2 linked regions of the Struthio camelus genome follow. Each later gene encodes a partner of the first gene's protein in a complex. Links are inferred from orthologs where the notes say so. Each region holds a gene or a part of one and is shown on either strand. Other genes may lie near its edges.

Region 1 (8,563 bases):
CTCTCAGTGCTGTCTCCACATTGTTGCTGGTGTGTGAAGGCAGTGTTGCCTAAGGAGTTGACACTGTGCACAGTCTCAGCTAAATCTAAGCAGAAATGTTAAAACAAAGCAATTGCTGATGCTTGCTCAGTCTATTATGTACCCGTCTTCCGCTCACAGTACTGCAGTTTGCAAGTCTTCTGGTTAATTTTTTCAGCCCTGTGATGCTGCTCAGCTCTAATTTCTCGTGGTAGTATTTCACATGAAGTTCTGGCAAAGGTTTACTAGGGTGTGGATATACTACATTTACTGGATCTCTCCCAAAATCTAAACAGTTGCAATTAGAGCCCCAACAAGTGATAAAGCTTGCCTGGCACAAGTTTCGTAAGGCTGGAGGTCTGTGAATCTTTTATGGGCAGACTGTGCTTTCCGGGGTGTCACGCTCTCAGCTCTGGGACACTGCTCTGCTTCCTCTGAAGTGCCCTTTCTGGCATGTTCTTTCATTCTTTTGCTGGCGCTGAAATGTAGACCTATCTATGTGACTCTTTTTTTCTCCACTGTAAAGTTAGTACTGCATTTAATTTTCCCCCTATCCTTTGAGACCTCCTTGGTTTTCCTCCGCTTTTCAAAATTAATTGCCAGTGACATAGTCAATTCATTAGCTAAATTAAAACCCTGGGAACCATATTGTCCGGATCTGCTGATCCCAGCCTATCAAAGAGTTGTACAAAGTATTTCCTTACCTGTCCTTCATTAGCAGCTGTATTGACCGGGCTTCTATTACTTCCCAATTGTCCATACTACTCTTCTTGTTAAAGACCTCTTGAAAAGGGAGAAAAAAGAGGCAGCGCAGCAACTCAACCACTGCAGATCCCTCATTGATTTCCTTGCCTCTCTCTTCATTCATTAATGGATCCGTCTTCACTTTTTCTCTTTAGATGTATTAACGGCTGTTCCTATTTCATTTGATGCCTATTAGTCAAGACACCTCTTTGATTCAGTTTTCAGTTCTAACCTTTTTGTGATTCATGGCAGAGAAACAAGGTAATACAGTAGGAAAAGAACACATCTGTATGTTTTGATGCTCCCTACCTGATTTCCTTGGGACCATTAAATAACATTCTTTTAGCTGCTATGACAATTTCAGGATGCTGCTTTTTCTGCTTTTTTTTTTTTTTTCCAGGCGCACTCAAATTATTTCACTGAGTGCTGTGTGTGCTTTAGGAATGCTGCATCGTAACCCAAATGCGGGCAAAAGCCACCATCCCTTTGTCTTATCCCCAGGCGTCTCAGCATTTTTCTCCTACAATCCCCCAGGGGACAACCCCAAAACAACTGGCACAATCACTTGCGTCCATACAGCACCCACACCGCTGACACTGACCAGGAGGTTGGGTTGTACTTCGGGTCATAAGTAGAAGGAGATATGTTTACGAGAGAGCAGATTTAGTAGGGCCTTTGTTTGTATGCAGTGCCCAGACAATGTTGCTGTTATCCTACCCCTGTCACAATAGATCTAGTTCTTCATATATCTTCTCCAGCATCCTCCCACAAGGCAGAAGGCCAGTCCTAGCAGGGTACTATTGACCTGAAGACTGACTGCTGCTCAGTGGGCTCCAGAAAAATGAATCCCTGTATTCCTAGGTTGGGCACATCACAAAAACTCCCTGTCCTGCTCAGCAGCTTTTTTGGTATTCGTGGTAGAGAAGACAGAGTCCAAAGAGATACGGTGACTGACCTCAACTCTAAGAGAGATATGAATAGGCAGTGTGAAAGAAGGATGCAGTGTGCCATAGCATATTTTTTTATTTCATTCTGAGGAGAAATCAGAGAGCGAAGTTTCTAGTTATGCCAGTCTGACTCATTGCTGGGGCCAACTCTGACTTCCTAGTTATGATGAAAGTCAGTGAGATGTCTGTATAATTTCCAAGATAAAGAGCAAAGTTGAGGAGATACACTCTATCTTAGCAGGATGTTGGGGATAAATGAATCAGTCAAATTATTCTGCTCCTAGTAGCTGAGTTGAAAATCTGAACTGTGTCCTGGGCCTACCCTATTAAAGTCAGTGGGAGACTGGCCATTCACTGAAGTGAGCAGAGCATTAAGCCCTGTTTGACTGAATCTTAGAGGAAAATACTAAGAACTGAAAACTGTAGAAGTCCCATAGTAGAGACTTCATTTGATGGAAATCTGATATGCGCAAGCAGGAAAACAGTCTATAATAAACTGTGAAAGAGATTTTTAGAACATTTTCTTCCAGTGCCCAACATACCATTTTTTTGCGGTAATTGTCGTTCTTTTTGAGAGAGACTCACTCGCATTTAATACTCCTCCAGAGGAAGATGATAGTCCAAAATAATTTGGAGAATAGAGCAGGTCTGAGGACCTAGTTCTCAATCCATGAATGTGCACATTAGTAGGACTATCCACTAGAGTAAAAGATGCTGCTGAGTTAAAAGGCCGGAGGCCCATGATTGATTCAGTCCATTTAACATTTTTTTCCAATAAGGATTTTGAGGTCAAGAGAATAAAAGCATACAGATCAAGTTGAAATATTTGTATGTTGGATGTTGTGTCCCAAGACACTTGTATGTGTTCAGTTTGCAAAAAGTAAAAATATGGCGAATTTCCCACCCTTCTAAGGGGCATAATGCTGGCTCTGAACAGATGCCAAGTGGGGTGTTTCCAACAGTTTCCTCTTTTAAGAAAAGGAAGACCAAGGCCCAAAGTATTACTAAAACTTACAAGTGAAGGATTAGGGTTCACCGGTAGGACAAGTGAATCTAGTGGATTGTAAAATAACAGCAGCTATGGGGAAAAGCGGGTACGACCCAAGCCCATTAGCATCGGTTGGGACAACATGCATCCTCTTCGATGAGCTTTGAATTCTCAAGAACTATATTAGACTAAATATGGCAGAAAAGTTCTTTGTTGAATTAAGCATATTATATAACTATTCCTGTGATACTTGCCCTGAAGTTCCTTCTTTAACTCTTCTGTGTAGAAAAAATCCTGGTTCTCTTTTCTAACATTGTGCCTGCAATCACACTCTTTGGCACTACAATTATGGAGGGATTACACTGTGATTCTACTCCACAATATCTGTATATTAACGCTAATTTGATATAAGCAGAAGAATAACCACATGACAGAATAATTGCACTCTAATGATTATATAGTTAAAGTACCTGGATTATAAAAATATACATGCATTAAGTATCAAACTAAAGAGATAATAATAAGGCATTAATTCATATAGGCAACTTCCAGAAATATGAATGAGTTATGATTAGCTATCCTAAGGCATAGCACTAATGTAATTACAGTAATTATATTGTATTTATTAAAGGTAAAAAAGGGGGAAATTGTAGCATGAGCCATTCTTAAGGCTGTTGTTTCCATTCTGAAATGGAACATTTTTGTTCATTTTTTAATATGACTTATGCTCTAAGATTTCTTTTTTTCCCCCCTCACTTCTTCTTCTGCAGAGGAAAGCTATACAGGGTTGTTTGGGAGACCTCAGTCTTTAAGGAGAGAAGGAAGGAGGGAAAGGAAGGAAGGAAAAAGGGAAGGAGGGAGGGAAAACGGGAAGGAAAAGGAAGGAGAAGGAGGGAGGGAGGCAGGAGGGAAAGAAGGAAAGGGAGGGAGGGAAAATGAACGGCGCTGTCCACCACTGCCTGCACAGAGAGAAAGGGAAGAGCGGCCCGGGCGGGCCCCGGGACTCCAGGGCCCGACAGCGCACGGCGGCACCGCCTGGGGCCCGCCCCGCGGCTGGGGCCGGGGGCTCGGCCGGGTGGCGCGGGGGTGCGGGGGCGCCGCCAAGCCCCGGCCCTGCCTGCCCGGAGCGCGGGGCCGCCGCCGCCGCCCCCCCCGGCGCTGCGCATCCCCGACGCGGCGGCGCGGCGCCCCGGCACCCCTCCCGTCGGGGCGGCCGGGGGCGGCCGGGCTATTTTTTTCTCAATGAACTCGCCCCCCCGCCCCGCCCCCGTCATATTTGCATAATGACGGCTGCCGGGGACGGCATTGGCTGCTGCCGGGCGGGCTCGGGCGTGATGTCAGCGCTCGCCGGGTAATGCCTGCGTTGTGGCGGGTAGTTGGAGCCGGCAAAGCCCGCGCGGCGGCGGCGGCGGCAGCAGCAGCAGCAGCAGCGGCGGCGGCGGCGGCGGCAGCAGCATCGGCCTCGGCACCGGCGGTCCCGGGCGCACCGGCCTCGGCAGCGGCCCCGGCCCCGCGCTCCTCGGCCCCGCGCTCCTCGGCCGCAGCGGCCCCGGCCCCCGGGGCGCACCGGCCCCGGTGCCGCTCCGTCGGGGCAGGACGGGGCGGCGGCGCAGCGGGGCGCGCCCCGAGCGGCCGCCGAGGGCGGGCGGGCGGGCCATGGCGGGGGACCGGCTGCCCGTCCGCCTGCTGGCCGCCGCCTGCCTCGCCCTGAGCCTGGCGGCGGCGGCGGCAGCGGGGCCGGCGACGCCGCGGGAGAGCGCCGGCTTCTCGCGGCTGCAGCGGAAGAGCCTGGCCGTGGACTTCGTCGTGCCCTCGCTGTTCCGGACCTACGTGCGGGAGCTGGTGCTGGGGCCGCCGGGGCTGGCGGCAGCGGCGCGGTGCCGCTTGCGGCTGGACTGCGCGCCGCTGCTGCGCGCCGCCCGCGGGGGGCTGCCGCGGGCCGCGCCGCCCGCCCGCCCCGGCGGCCCCGGCGCGGCGCTGCCCGGCGGCCCGGCTCGGAGGCTGCGCCGCGCCAAGCAGCTGGTGCTGGAGGTGGGCGAGGGCAGCCTGCGCGACGGCTGCGCCGCCGAGCCGCCGCCGAGCCCCGGCGGGGCGGGCGGCGCGGCGCAGCTGGAGTTCAACCTCACCGAGCTCTTCGCCGGCTGGCTGCGCGCCGGCCAGGGCCGCCTGCGGGTGCGCCTGATGCCCGAGCGGCGGGCCGCCCTGCTGGGCAGGGAGCGAGGGCTCTCGGCGGCCATCCGCGCCGCCCGGCCCCGGCTCCTCTTCCACGTCTCGGCGGCAGGTGAGCTGCGCGTTGCATGCCGCCGCGCCCCGCTCCGCGCCCATCCCCGCGGCCGCCCGGCCGCCCGGCCCTGCCCTCCGCGCCCTGCGCAGCCACTGCGCCTTCCCCACCCTCGGCAAACACCCGGCCCGCCCACGCGGTCGCCCCGTCGCTGCTCTAGCCCCGTGGGTGCGGGGGGAGATGCGGGAAGTGGTCGCGGCTTTCCCCTTGGCGGCTGAGAGATGCAGCGGCGGGTCCGCGGGGCCACGCTCCGAAAGCGCCGAGGGCTTGCACGAAACGCGAAGGGTTCGTTTGTGCCTGGCGGCCACATGCAAAACCCACGGGCAAAGCCCTCATTGCTCTGCGGAGAGCGAGATAAGGCTCTTGGAAACTTAAAAATGCCATCTTAGAAGGGGCAAGTTTACGCAAGTGCAGCAAGCGATCCCCAGGTTATGTGCAGGCAGACCTCAGGGAATAGGAGAAACACGTCCAAAGCGGAGCTGACCAGCAGATCGATACGTCACTGCTGATAGTGATACGTGACAGTATTATTTCTCCTCTTAAAGATACAAGGTAATGGGCTAACACATAAACATGTACGTGGAGCTGGTGCTTCTCTGAGTTTCATGTATCTGAAACTGGGTTAATTTCTATCAAAAATCATTGAGCATCCTTAGCGAACTGCACTGTAGGAGATCCAGTAAGACAAAAAGTTATTCATCTGAGGAGCCTCACTTACCACTGGTGTTTTTCTGAAGAAAGAATGTGGCTTAAAATATTGGTTCCAGACTGCAGTTATTTGCAGTCAGGATACGGGGCAGCTCCGTTACCTCTAATCAAGTCTCTGCTTTGGGCTAGTAATCAAGAAAGCTTTCCATTCTGTGCATGCGATTTACCTTTAACACTAGCTCTTATTCAGGCTGTCCCACTGAAAGAATGTAGTACCTATAGGACTGCAGGGTCAAATAATTTGTTACAGTGAATTAAGTTAGGTAGCTTTCATGAAGCTATGTAGAAGTCAATGGTGCGTTCCTGAGTAGCCACCTAGTTAATGGACCAGGGAGTATACTTAAGCAAATTCACAAGAGGTGAGACAAGTCAGTGCTGGGCTTTGAATACAAAGTTGAAGCAACTGATTTCTGACGCTCCACTGAAAAGCTGGGCCAGCAACTGGAATAAGTGCAAACTGAACTCATATCATTCCTTGCTGCCTGACGCCAAAATCAAAGCAGGTTGTCAGAGCAGGGTCTATGTGATCCAGTCTTATACTCATGGCTGGCACGAGATGCCCTGGTTATCTTCCTGTACGAATTCTGGCAGGGGTAAGGCAGAGGTACTTTCTACCACAAGGTGGCCAGGCGAGGTCAAAAACAAACCAAAAAACCCAGAAAAACCTGCTTGCTGTTTTCATCATTTGGGAATTTATTGTGAGGTGCACTTGTCTTGCTTCACCGTTGGACAGTTAAGATGTAGCTTTAGCTTTTAATGCCAGCTTAGACCCAGTGCTTTTAGTAATAGAGGGGCTGGAGAGCGTGCACTTGCCCTCTGTGAGGATGAAGGTGTGTCTGTGACCCTGGCGAAGGGAGTCCGTGTGGACTAACAAGGTGCTCTGGTCTTAGGAAGACAAGGCAGATGGAACTTTAACTAAAGTTAGTAACCCTTCAGGCTTTGGACGTTGTCTTCGCTGTTGAGAAGAAATGCATACTTTTACAGATAGGTGACTAGTAGTTAGGCATTCCCCTGTAAAATCACGTTGGAGACACGGCTCTGCAGTCTTTACTGCAATATAGTCATACACAGTCAATCATAGGGGACGCAGGAATAGGAGGAAGAGAGAAGAAGGAATATTGACCTCATCTACCTGTATCACAGCAATAACCACTCCTAACAGAGGTTCCTAATCTCTAAAAATCCGAGTCTCCCCTTGAATTTTACACCAACGTGCATAACATGCATAGGCTGTGTCGCTATAAAATTATACTCTGCTTTTTTAGCAATGAAAACTTAGTGTACTTAGGCTATTACATGACTTTGCATTAGGTTTGTAACGTGGGTTTGCTAAACACATTAAAAATCCATTCTTTCTGCTTTGTGAAGATACTGCCTGTTTGAACACCATGTGTCACTGCCATACTTCAATTCGTGCCATATAGCCCTGCCGATAGCAGGACGTGCTGACACGGTGATAACATCCAGCAGCCTGTAAGCGTGAGGAATGCAGCCATTATTAACGCCGTTGCAGCTAATGTGTGCGGGGCTTAGCTAAAGCCCTTCCTAAGGCGACTGAGCCTTGCCTTCATTGCTTAAGTTAATTGGAAATGGATTGCAAGCAACACAATCCTACCATCAATAATGTAAAGCTGCCTCACTTATTTTGGCATATTTAGCTTTTTTTTTTTTTTTTTTCTTTCTTGTTAGAGAGGCTCAGCATTGCCGTACTTCCCAGGGAAAGATGTAATTACCTTGCTAAATTATTTTGGCAAAATTATCCTCCATATGAATGGAGACTGAAATATATTTTAGGATGAGAAAAAACTGCAAGGAGCTCAATTCCCATTGTCTTTAAGGGTTATGGAAGAGTCCCTTAAAAGTGCTCTATTCTCCTTAACTGTTACACTCCCTGATACTGGCTTAAAGATATTAAACCAGAGTGAACTCTTTTCCTTTCTAACAACATGTTTGCACAAAGCAATGTAATGTAATTTGCCTCAGTGTGTTACTGAACAATTAGTAAAAGATGTACTAACTGGACTGCTGCTGTTTAACAGACAAACCATGAAGTTCACGGGAATTTTTATAGGGCTTTCTGCAAATATTCTCAATGCCAGATTTCTCACATGCACTCATCCTTGTGGGAATGGAGTACCCTGCAAAAAAGAGCTTCCAATTTCAGAAGCTCTGGTCCCAAGCCCATCCACAATTTCTATGTCAGCTTGGCCTTTCCAGAATTGGCTAAGAGACAGTTTTCCTCTCTTGGAAATGCTTCAAGAATTAATACTGGCTTCCTCTCCTTCCCCTAGTGCTTCTCTGGGACAAAATCAAATTCATTTCAATCTTTTTGTGGAAACACAAACAATAAAAATTGCACAAGAAGGGAGGGGCAAGCTCAGAGAGCATCACCGTGCTGCAAACCTCCCATGTTTTAGGCAAGCCTCCCAACTACCAGGTTGCTGGTGACTTTGCTGTCATTTTCTTTGATGTTGACTGGAAATTCCATCCCCGCCTCCAAGGAAACCTTTCCCGAATCAGTTTAATCAAAACCAATACCTTCCCACGGGAAACTGATCTGCCGGCAAACCCTTTTGTCGCAATATTGGTGACCGGCTTTGCTCCTCACCTTGGGGTAGGGTTTGTGACCTGGTGTCAAAACACAGTCCATCTTGGTAGCTGTGTATTCTCTGGACAGGTTATTGAGCCTTCTTTGAAACAGTCCTAAATTGCCTCTATATTGCCACCAAAGAACTGTCTGAACATCAGCGTTGCACCTTGCGTGGCTGTTCCTCTGCTGCTGGGCTAAAATTACCCGCAGGACTTTGAGATCAAGTAGGGTACTGCACTTTGCACGTTGCGCGGAGGTCTTGGGCAGACCGTCTTGGTGGATCTCAT
Region 2 (9,470 bases), about 94 Mb from region 1:
ACATGCTGAAAGTGACTCACATGAGACATCCTTACGTTTATATAAGATGGCATATATTTTTCAACATTTATTTTTTTTTAAAGTGATACTTACACATAGTGAGATGACATTATCAAATTTAGACTGTACTATCAAAACATGTTATCATTTATCAGCTATGGCTCTATAAAACACATGTGATTCACTTGTCTCTTTGAGCTAAGAACTATAGTTGGGAATGAAAGAGCAAGCTACTCTGCCACTAAAACAACTGAGTTCTTATGCATACTGAAGCCATCTTCATTCCTTTTGTGGCACAGAGAGATCAGAGCAGGCCAGAGAAAGCAATGCCTTCTATCAGCTAGTGAGAGAAATCAGCTAGGGATTTTACTCTTGCTCTTACATGGAAAGACAGCTACTATACCTGCAGCTATGTAACTCTAAGGCAAACAGACAGCAGTCAACAATGAACACACATATAGCAGGCCCACTGCTGCATATCGGATACAGATAAAGAAGGGTCTTCCTCTGAACTGCTTATGGCCTCAAAAACAGTTTCTTAGAGTGGAATTAGCCTCCCACCTTCCATTAGTTGTTTAAAAGTTAGGAGTCTGGTCTTTGTTAGTGTCTCGCTATAGTCAATAGTCTACCATGAAGAGGAGCTTGACTTGCTTCTCTGTAGCATTTATCTTTATTCTGCAAAGTTAAGTATCTCCAAAAAACTATAGATGGAATAATTCGGAGTACTTTTCTTCAGCCTCTGGTTTCTGAACCTTGAAATTCCAGGGGATACTTTGAAAACTATGAAAGGTAACTAGACAAAGTGACACTATTCTCATAGGACACACATTTCCTCCAGCTTGTTCAGTGGGATTTCCACAGTCGGTTTGCACTGGTGCAGCACCACAAAACTAACCGAATATAATGTTGAATCTGGCTCAGTGACTGAAGTGTTGGCCAACGCAGAGCTGTCTTTAGCCTTGAATTTACAGGTAGAGAATATTATAGGCAGAAATCTGCTCTTTTAAACTCTCTACCAAAAACATCAGGCCGGCCCTGCCTGTAACGCTGACAGAACGTTTAGGAAGTATATCAAAGTTCTCCAGTCTTGGTTGCCGTGATGATTAATGGGATTTTAATCTTCTTGGCATTTGGACCAGGTAGGAAGCGAGGAAAGCCCTTAAAATACTCAATTGGCTTTAATACCCTAACATCTGTTGAAGTTTTTGTTCACGTTATGTATGTTCTCTGGTTGATTTCAGCACTACAGGAATTCGTAATGCCTCATCTCTGCCCTCCCCAGCAGCTGTCACTGCATTGGGCATTGCCTCTGAGAGTTGGAGGCTCACAGAGATGACTGAGCCAGGTGCATAAATATTATTTTACACTTAGGTACAATACATTATATTGAAAACATATTCAACAGTTTCATAAATTGGAACAGAGATTTTGGAAAAAAACATCTGTTGGATGCTACATATATATTTTCCTATCTAGAATTTTAAAATAACTATCATAAACATAGCTTCCAAAGTAATACCCGCATGCTCTGCTCACAGAAATGTAGCTAACCTAACAGTGGCCAGAAAGAAAATCTACTTGTCATTTGCCAGTGCAGGTATTCTTGAATCATCAGGTAGGATAAACTTCCTCTTAAAGAATTACTGACTTCCGTATGGGATAAAAAGTCGCCACATATGGTGGATGTGATCTATACTTTGCAAGTCCAGTTGTCAAGTCAGTCAACGGATAGCCACTCAAGAAACCCAACAGAATTACCAGCTCCATACCATCTCATCATATTTATTTTTATCATGATTGACATATAACTTGAAGAAGATTAAATATTGCTTTTCTTCTGTGAGGACTGAAAAGTCTGTTTTTTAAACTCACAGGGTAACTTTTTAGAATTTTTATAAGCAGTTGGAATGCTTATGGGGAAAAAAAGGATTTCAAAACATCATTTTGAGGTTCTGAGGTCAATAGAGAGCGATACAAGAAGCATTTTCATAGTCTAGTCATATGAATGTCCGCTGGAATTTTCTAAGTGTACACTCAGTTCATATATTGGTTATGAGCTTGATTTAGACAATCAGCTCTGCTCTGCAATCACTTCAGAAAATGTTGCACTTGCTTTTATTAAATATAGATAGGAACCCTTATGTCTGTTATAATCAGCTGAAACAAGAGCACGCTTGAAACTGTAAGGCTCTTAGCATGAAAATTTCACCAGTTTTAGAAGACAGAACCAAGTACACATATTCTTGTTTTCACGTACGCCCCGTAAGTTTAAAAAAAAAAAGTGAAGATATCTTTAACATTCTAGCATGGCATTAGAGAAAGGAATTGGTGAAAGTTAGTAAAATTGCTACCCAGAAAACAGTGACTACCGTGTGTTAGTTAATGACGCTAGAAATTCCACTTTGGTTTTTGTTCCAAATTCCAAACTTAGTGCCTCTGCTCCATAACCCACCCAGGGAACGCAGTGTGAAGTCTTCACGCATCAGTGAAGTCTGTCCACCCAATACAGCATTCAGTCTTCTTTTTTTTTACTTTGTGCTTGCTTCACATGGTCCTTATTCAGAGGATTAAGATGTTCACTTTAAAAATAGATTTGATTGCCGAGGAGACCACTAACTTGATGTTCTGTAAACATAAGCCAAAAAATCACATCAGGAGTTTTTTTTTAATGAAATCTATCCCTGCAGGACAAGCCAAAATACTCATTATGTTGTAATATCTCTTTGGCTTCCTCATCCAAGATTGTGTTGCTTTTTGAGACTGGGGGCCATATCACCCTCTCCACCTTCTTTCAAGGAACGCAAGAAGAAAGTCTTTCTTTATGTCCATGTGCAGCTGGCTGAGAAGGTGTGTTCATCTGTCATTTCTATCTGAAGGCATCCGAACTTACATCTTGTAAATCCTGGGAGCATGCTTTCTTCAGCATCCAGGCTGCTTAGTGCCATCAAGAGTCAGATGCTTCCCAATATCCAGAAAAGAACTCCAAGCACCTCTGAGCTTTAATGGCAAAACAGTGCACCTACTCACTTCCGAAGCCTCAAGAGTCAGATTGAAGGCGGGCAGAAGTCTTGGAGATCGCAGTTTCACCCATATATATGCAGAGAAGGTGTTTGGTAGTATTTCAGTGGTAAGCACTTAGATAGTTAGTTAAATCTAGCCCTAAGAAAATGTACTTGATAACATGTAATATGCTGGAACATTAAATTATCATCCCAAATCTATCAGTGTAAATTTCAGTTAACTCCACTGAAGACATGGGAGCTAGCATTTATCTGTGTATAAATCAATGTAAACAAATCAAAATAGACCACTGCCTCAGTTTCTGCATGCATAAAAAGACAACAGATTGTGTATTACCTACTTTATAGCTCAGTGAATATTTTCATAGTACTTTGAGTCTACATCTATATTAGTAAATTAAAGAGGAATAACCCTGGACATCTGAATGAAATTGCCTACATCGTCAATTTGTCCTTGGCATGCTTTTGGTTCACGCCAGCTAACGCTTTCCCTAACTCATGCTGGAGTTATTGTTTCCAAAGCGATTAATTTGGAAGAAGTATTACTTATAATTACTTGTAATAATTACTCGCAATAGAAGTAAATAGTGAGAAGTAAATAGTAGAGAAGTAAACAGCAAACTGTCAGATTGTGCAATATCTGTCCAGTTTTCCATCTTTGCTATCTATCTCCTGTCTCGTAGCTATAGTGTTACTATTTGGTATGACTAAATTGCAACTATAACCATACTATGGTTATGCCATGCAAAGTACCATTCTTTCTTACTGATGAACTATCGTTTCATTTTTTTCCCCCAAGTCTCAAGACTAGAAACAAATCACCAAGCCAAAGAGAAACTAGTTTTCTGGACTCCTTTCAAAATTGCTCTTGCTCAATCTTGCCTCTGGATGTCTTTCTTAATCATGCTGTATTGTGTAGCATATCCATATATTTAAAAGTAATAAAATAAGTATTTACAGAAAGACACATATAAAAGGCAAACATAGAGCATGGTGAAATCATCTTTTTTTTTTTCTTCTTCCTTTTGTTTGGAAGCACTTGGAAGCACTTTGGAAGTCAGGAAAACTTATTCCGCGCTGGGTGATTTACAGCTCTTAGTGAGCAGAGGTAACGCGCTCTGCTCGGCAGAAGACGAGGCTCCTTCGAGACGCGCACATGGCCGGCGGCGGCGCGGCCCGCCGCGGGGGGAGGAGCTTCCCTCCACAGCCGAGCCCAGCCGTTGCCCGCAGCCGTTAACGGCCGGCTCCGCGCGCCTCCTGCGGCCGCGGGCAGGGTCCCCCCAGCCAGCCCCCCGCCCGTGCTGGCTCCGCGCCGCTTCCCTCGGCTCGGCTTCGCCAGGGCTCAGTTTCGCCAGCTGCCACTGCGGGTCACTGTTGCTGCTGCCTGAGGAGAGGAGGACGCCGCGCTCTACCTGACTTCTGTAGCTACCAGAGCGGGGCAGAAGGGGCAGCGCTTCCTCAGTCCCCCGACCTCGCTGCGCGGGAGCGGACGTTATCTGCGGGGTGCCTCCTTCCCCGCAAGTTCACGTCCCGTCCCCTCAATCCGTTCGCCTCCCGCTCCGACCCCCGTCTTCTTCTGGGGTTTGGAAAGTACTCTCACCGCTCGATCCAACTTTGTATTTGTCTTTTGAGCTGCCAAGGGAGAGGTTTATACACACAATCAAAGTAAATAGAAAAGTTCAGTTGGATCATGTTTCACCGTGTTTCACTTCGGCTCCAGAAGTTCTGAGGGGCTTAATGGGGAAACGGAGGGGAACTCTGTTCGGGCTGAAAATCTGTGGTTGGGCGGGAGGTGTTGGGTCTTGCAGGACGGCTCTCGCTCTTACAGGGAAGCATAACGCCGCGTGTTTCCAGGAGGCTTTCGCCTCTTCACGTCTCTCCGACGTCCCCCGTGGTAGTCCCCCTTTATTCAGGTGGTCACCGTTTGCGGACCGAGCTGATGACTGACGAGAGTCTGCAGCGCGCTCCTGTCCGTGGCGCTGCCTTCTCCCCGCTTCGCCCTCCTTCCCCCCCCCCCCCCCGGCCGGCTCTACTGGGAGCGTTTCCAGGCAGTGCCGCGCTGAGAGCCCAGGAAGCCGCCTCACCGCTCGGGACTACCCTTGCCAAGAATAAGCGAGAAAGGCGACACGCCCGCCTCTTCCACCCAGACCCTACTCCCGCCACCTCGCTGCGGGCTTCCCGGTCGGGAGCAGCAGAAAATAGCCTCCCTTTTCCCCAGCCGCTCGCCCCCGCCCCAACACCTCCCCTTCCCCGCCGCAGCCAGACCCGAAGTTCCTGGTAAACACGCGGCTTCCCCGCCCGCCCCCGCGGCGCGGCCCCCGGCGAGTGACGGCCCCGGGGCCGGGGACCCGCCTGACGGCGAGCCGCGCCAAGGGCCATGAATATTTCAGAGGCTTCTCAGCGCGTTTCTAATTAAAGGCTCAGGCTAGGCGCTCCCCCCGCTCCCATCTTCCCGCCGCCGCCCCCTCCCACTCCACACACACACACTTGGGACCGTCTCCTTACGTCGGAGAGAGGAGAAGGAGTGACTGAGCCCTGCCCGGGGAGCTGCGCTAAGGGGAGGGACGGGGGGACCGGGGCGGGAGGGAAGGGAGGGCGGGAAGGGGGGGCTTGTGCGGCAGCGACGCTCCCGAGGTTGCCAAGTGGACTTTTATTGTTTTCCACCCACTTCCAAGTCGATACTATCTGCCGTCTCATGTCCATCCTATAGCCTATATAAGCGGCTGCGCTGGGGCTGGAGGAGATGGAGTAGTTTGTGGATACGGCGGGAGCACAGGGACGGGAGGGGGGCGGGCCAGCCGGGGGAAACTTGGACTCCCCGCCGCTTGCGGGCTGCTGCTGGCCGGGAAAAGTCACGGGAGCGACTCCCGCGGGAAGGAGACATCGGATCCCGGGACGCGGAGGCAGGTAACAACGCTGGGAAGGGCCAGCAGCCCTCCTTGCTCCCTCTCCCTCGCCTCATGCCGCCCCGGCGAAGCGGAGCGCTGCGGGCGGCGCTGCGGGGTGGCCCGGCCACGCGAGTGACAGCCGGCGGGCTGTCCCGGGAAAGTCGGCCCGGCAGAGCGGCCACGCGGCGCGCACCCACGCGCGGGGACGCGCTGGGCAGCCGGCTGCGGGGCTGGCCGCCCCGCGGCACTCGCCGGAGCGGGGAGGTGGCGAGCGGCGCCGCTCGGCTCGGGTCCTCTGCGGGCGCGGTGCGGCTGCTCCGCGCAGGGCTGGTTGTGGCTGCCGCGCTCCTTCCCTGAGTTGGGAGCGAGGAAAAAAAAAAAAAAAAGCAAGGAAAAGTAGGAGTCCGAGAGTGGCGTGTGGGGACGGCGGCAACGTGCGAGCCGTGTCACGGCCATGCCCCCAGCCAAGCAGCGCACCTCCTGCCAGGGCGAGATGCGCGGAGCGCCGGCCGTGCCGGGCCGCAGGGCCAGCGTGGGCTCGCTCGGCGCGCAGCCCCGCGCGCTTCTCCGGCAAAAACTTCGGGCGAAGTCGCCGCCTCCCTCCCGCCTCCAGCCCGTCGGCTGCGCTGCGCGGCCGCGGCCGCCTCCCTCCCGCCTCCAGCCCGTCGGCTGCGCTGCGCGGCCGCGGCGGCACGCGCCGCGGGCCCCTCGCCTCGCTGCGCCGCGCCTGAGCGAGGCGCGCCCCCGCCGCCCGCCGAGCGCCCCCGCCTCGCCCGGCGGCGCGGCTGCGCAGCGCGCCGCTGCGCGCGCCCGCCGGGGGCAGCGCGGGGAGCCCGGCCGCGGGGGCCGCTCGAGCTGCGGTGCGCCGGCTGCGCCGCCGGCCCGGGTGACAGACAGCCGGCCGGGGCGCCCGCACCCGCCTTATGTAACTTGAAAAGCGGACGCCGCGCTCGCCTCCTGCAGTCTTTCCGATTGCACCCCCTTGAGGCTCCCCACCTCCAACCCACCCCCACTTTTTCTCTTTCAGCAGGATAGGGGGCCTCCCACAGCCCCCTGTTCACATCCTTCCTTTTCATCTGGTCGTCCGCCCTCCAGGTCAGATTGCAATGAGTGGACTGAGGTCTCCTGGGTTTCTGGGGCTGATGCTCCTAATGCTCTCAGCAGGATACTGCAAAGAGAAAACTGACTCCACAGATTTGAAGGACAGGCAAAGTCTCTTAAATCTGATCATGGAGATCATTCAGGAACTGAAAAGGTACCACCTGGAGAAGGACAGCGGGGTGCAGTACTTCCCCAAACATGACTACACCTTAGACCGAAGGGAAGCGGCTGACTATGGGGGATACCAGGATGAACAGAGAGTTGGTAAGTTGCAATCCATGACTTAGGGGATCTTTTTCTTTCTGTACTGGCTTGGGGAATCAGAAATCACATTAGCTAGTTTTATATCAAGAATTCATCACTCAAAATATCTGCAATTCCCTCTGGTATCAGAAACTCATACAGACCGCAACTTCAGAATAGAAAAACTCCATTCATGCTTCAGTCTCTCTTTCCCTGGTCAAGGGTACTCAAGAGATCTGCCTTTCAGTTGTGCGTTGGCTTTGAATGTACAATATTAATATGTGAAAACAGTGAAATAGGTTGAGATCAGAGAAATCAGGGATGAAATGGTTCTTCCTCCTGGAAGCTTATCTTTTTTTAAATATGCCTCTTTTCTTTCCTGGAAATGATCCTACCAGTAATTCCTCTGCAGGACTATGCTATGCCCTTAGAGTGTTCACATTTAGAAATCTTTCCTGCAGTTCAGCCTTATTAAACTTTTCACCCCCATTTATTAGCCCCTTTTGTACTCTGGCGCTAGCATCTTTGAAACTGAAACACAGTACTCCACTGTCACTCTACAAGCCACGAATATTTTGAATCATTCCTTCAGTCATCATTCTACTCATTTGAATTGCTCTTCTCTAACCTCCAGTGAAAGTCCAGATTTTTTTTGTAAAATTACGTTCAAAATTGTACAGAGCAGTCCAGAAACAGTCATACTGAGCACCATGATGAAGGAGAGTTAAAGCTGTTTTATAACGTACTTCTGTGCATCCAGCTGAAAGTTGATTTGGCTTCTCCTGCTGCCATGTCTAATTTACTGTTCAGTGTCACTCCCAAACGCCCTCAGCATCACTGCTGCTAAGCTTACACCTCCTACTAGAAATGACTTTCTGAATATTGTCCAACAGATACCTATTCACTTTTTTCCAAACTAGCTTTCAGTTTGCTATTTTGCTATTTATGTTCTCACTCATTCAAAAATCGCAATGATCAGCAGTTGTTGGTGATTGTCACCAAAACGTTACTTCCGCATCTGGAAGATTAATGAATATATAAAGGAAGACTTTTGCTCTACTTAAGACCAGTACACTGGGAACATTTTGTTTTATAAATGTGAAAAAGTTAAGAGGCCAGACTGGCAGCGAACTCTAACCTGTACAATTCTTATGTCTCAACTTGTAATTTGGGCAGAGTTGGCTATCCTACACCTAAAAACTGGTGTGAAAAATCTGGCTTTTGCTGATCCATTTGTCTATGTGACTATAAAAACCACTTGACAGTAGGTTAGTTGGTAGTGGTGTCATTGACTCCTAAACAGGATTTTTCATTCTGTTGTTATAAGCGAATTATTGCCAGCAGCTCTGAAAAGGTTCCTTTTCAGCTCTACAGCTTAGAGTCCTTCATTTCAGTTTAGGTATCATTTTCCCAGTGAGTCTGTCCCCTGGGAAATTCCTCAGTGAAGCATGCGAGTTTTTAATGCTCTTCATGACATAATTAGGTCAAATATGATAAGGTCAATTTTACTTACACTCCCTAAAGTTAGAAGTAAATGAAGAATGACTTTCGAGAAGTGTCTAACCTCACAAGTCAATCAGATCTGGATGGAAATGTTCTCTACTTTATATCTGATAAGAAGTGCCAGGGGAATGAAAAAGGCTGCTCAGGCATTTGTGGCCAAATAAAGCACCATGTAGTGTATCATACACAATCAGCACTAAGCTATCAACATAGAGTTTGTAATGGAGAGCAATCAAAGATAGCTGTAAATCAGGAAGACACAAGCAAGGGTTAGGGCTAAAATGGATTTCAGTAAACCAGTTTCATTTTGCCATCTGCTGAACACAAAACACAAGGCAGTAAACCACAAACATACGGAGCCAGAAGAGAGCAATTTGCTTTGGATCATTTCCTGTGAATTTTATTTACTGCTAGAAGAAAAAGAAAAAAAAAAGATTCCTGTAAGTAGATCAATCCAGCTTCATGATTACAGCAGGACAGTACTTGTACAAACACACTTCTGACAAAATAGCGGATACATTCACAAAACAGAATCAGAAGAGAAGCCAGGAAACCAAATTTAAATACATCTTTGGATCTTTACTGTTAGTGGAATATGCAATTTCCGAGCAACTGTGAACTAAATTTTCTTAAAGAATTTAAATTTAGATCAGGTGATAACGCAAACCATAAAGAACTAAAATCTGACTCTTAGTTGTCGACGGCATTAATAACT

Evidence for each region.
Region 2: the proteins of ALK (region 1) and ALKAL2 are in contact, whole or in part, in a cryo-EM structure (PDB 9G5I), measured with the Homo sapiens proteins. The link is inferred for Struthio camelus from reciprocal best matches to the Homo sapiens genes ALK and ALKAL2. Residues at the interface, in NP_004295.2 of Homo sapiens: Leu684, Tyr739, His755, Ser758, Leu760, Phe856, His857, Glu859, Leu965, Tyr966, Thr967, Pro968, Leu970, Lys971, Val972, Met973, Glu974, Glu978, Asn980, Val992, Glu994, Cys995, His996, Met997, Phe1007, Asp1009; in NP_001002919.2 of Homo sapiens: Ser112, Lys113, His114, His116, Arg117, Leu118, His120, Asn121, Thr122, Arg123, Asp124, Arg133, Arg136, Leu137, Arg140, Leu141.

What each region holds. Positions count from the first base shown.
Region 1 is NC_090944.1:123,891,431-123,899,993, reverse strand, and holds the start of ALK (ALK tyrosine kinase receptor), read left to right. Parts: upstream 1-4,353; coding exon 4,354-4,978; intron 4,979-8,563. UniProt on the Homo sapiens protein: Neuronal receptor tyrosine kinase that is essentially and transiently expressed in specific regions of the central and peripheral nervous systems and plays an important role in the genesis and differentiation of the nervous system.
Region 2 is NC_090944.1:30,143,368-30,152,837, forward strand, and holds the start of ALKAL2 (ALK and LTK ligand 2), read left to right. Parts: upstream 1-5,609; 5' UTR 5,610-5,927; intron 5,928-6,935; 5' UTR 6,936-7,014; coding exon 7,015-7,273; intron 7,274-9,132; exon of another isoform or gene 9,133-9,470. UniProt on the Homo sapiens protein: Cytokine that acts as a physiological ligand for receptor tyrosine kinases LTK and ALK, leading to their activation. Cytokine-binding is sufficient to activate LTK. In contrast, ALKAL2-driven activation of ALK is coupled with heparin-binding to ALK.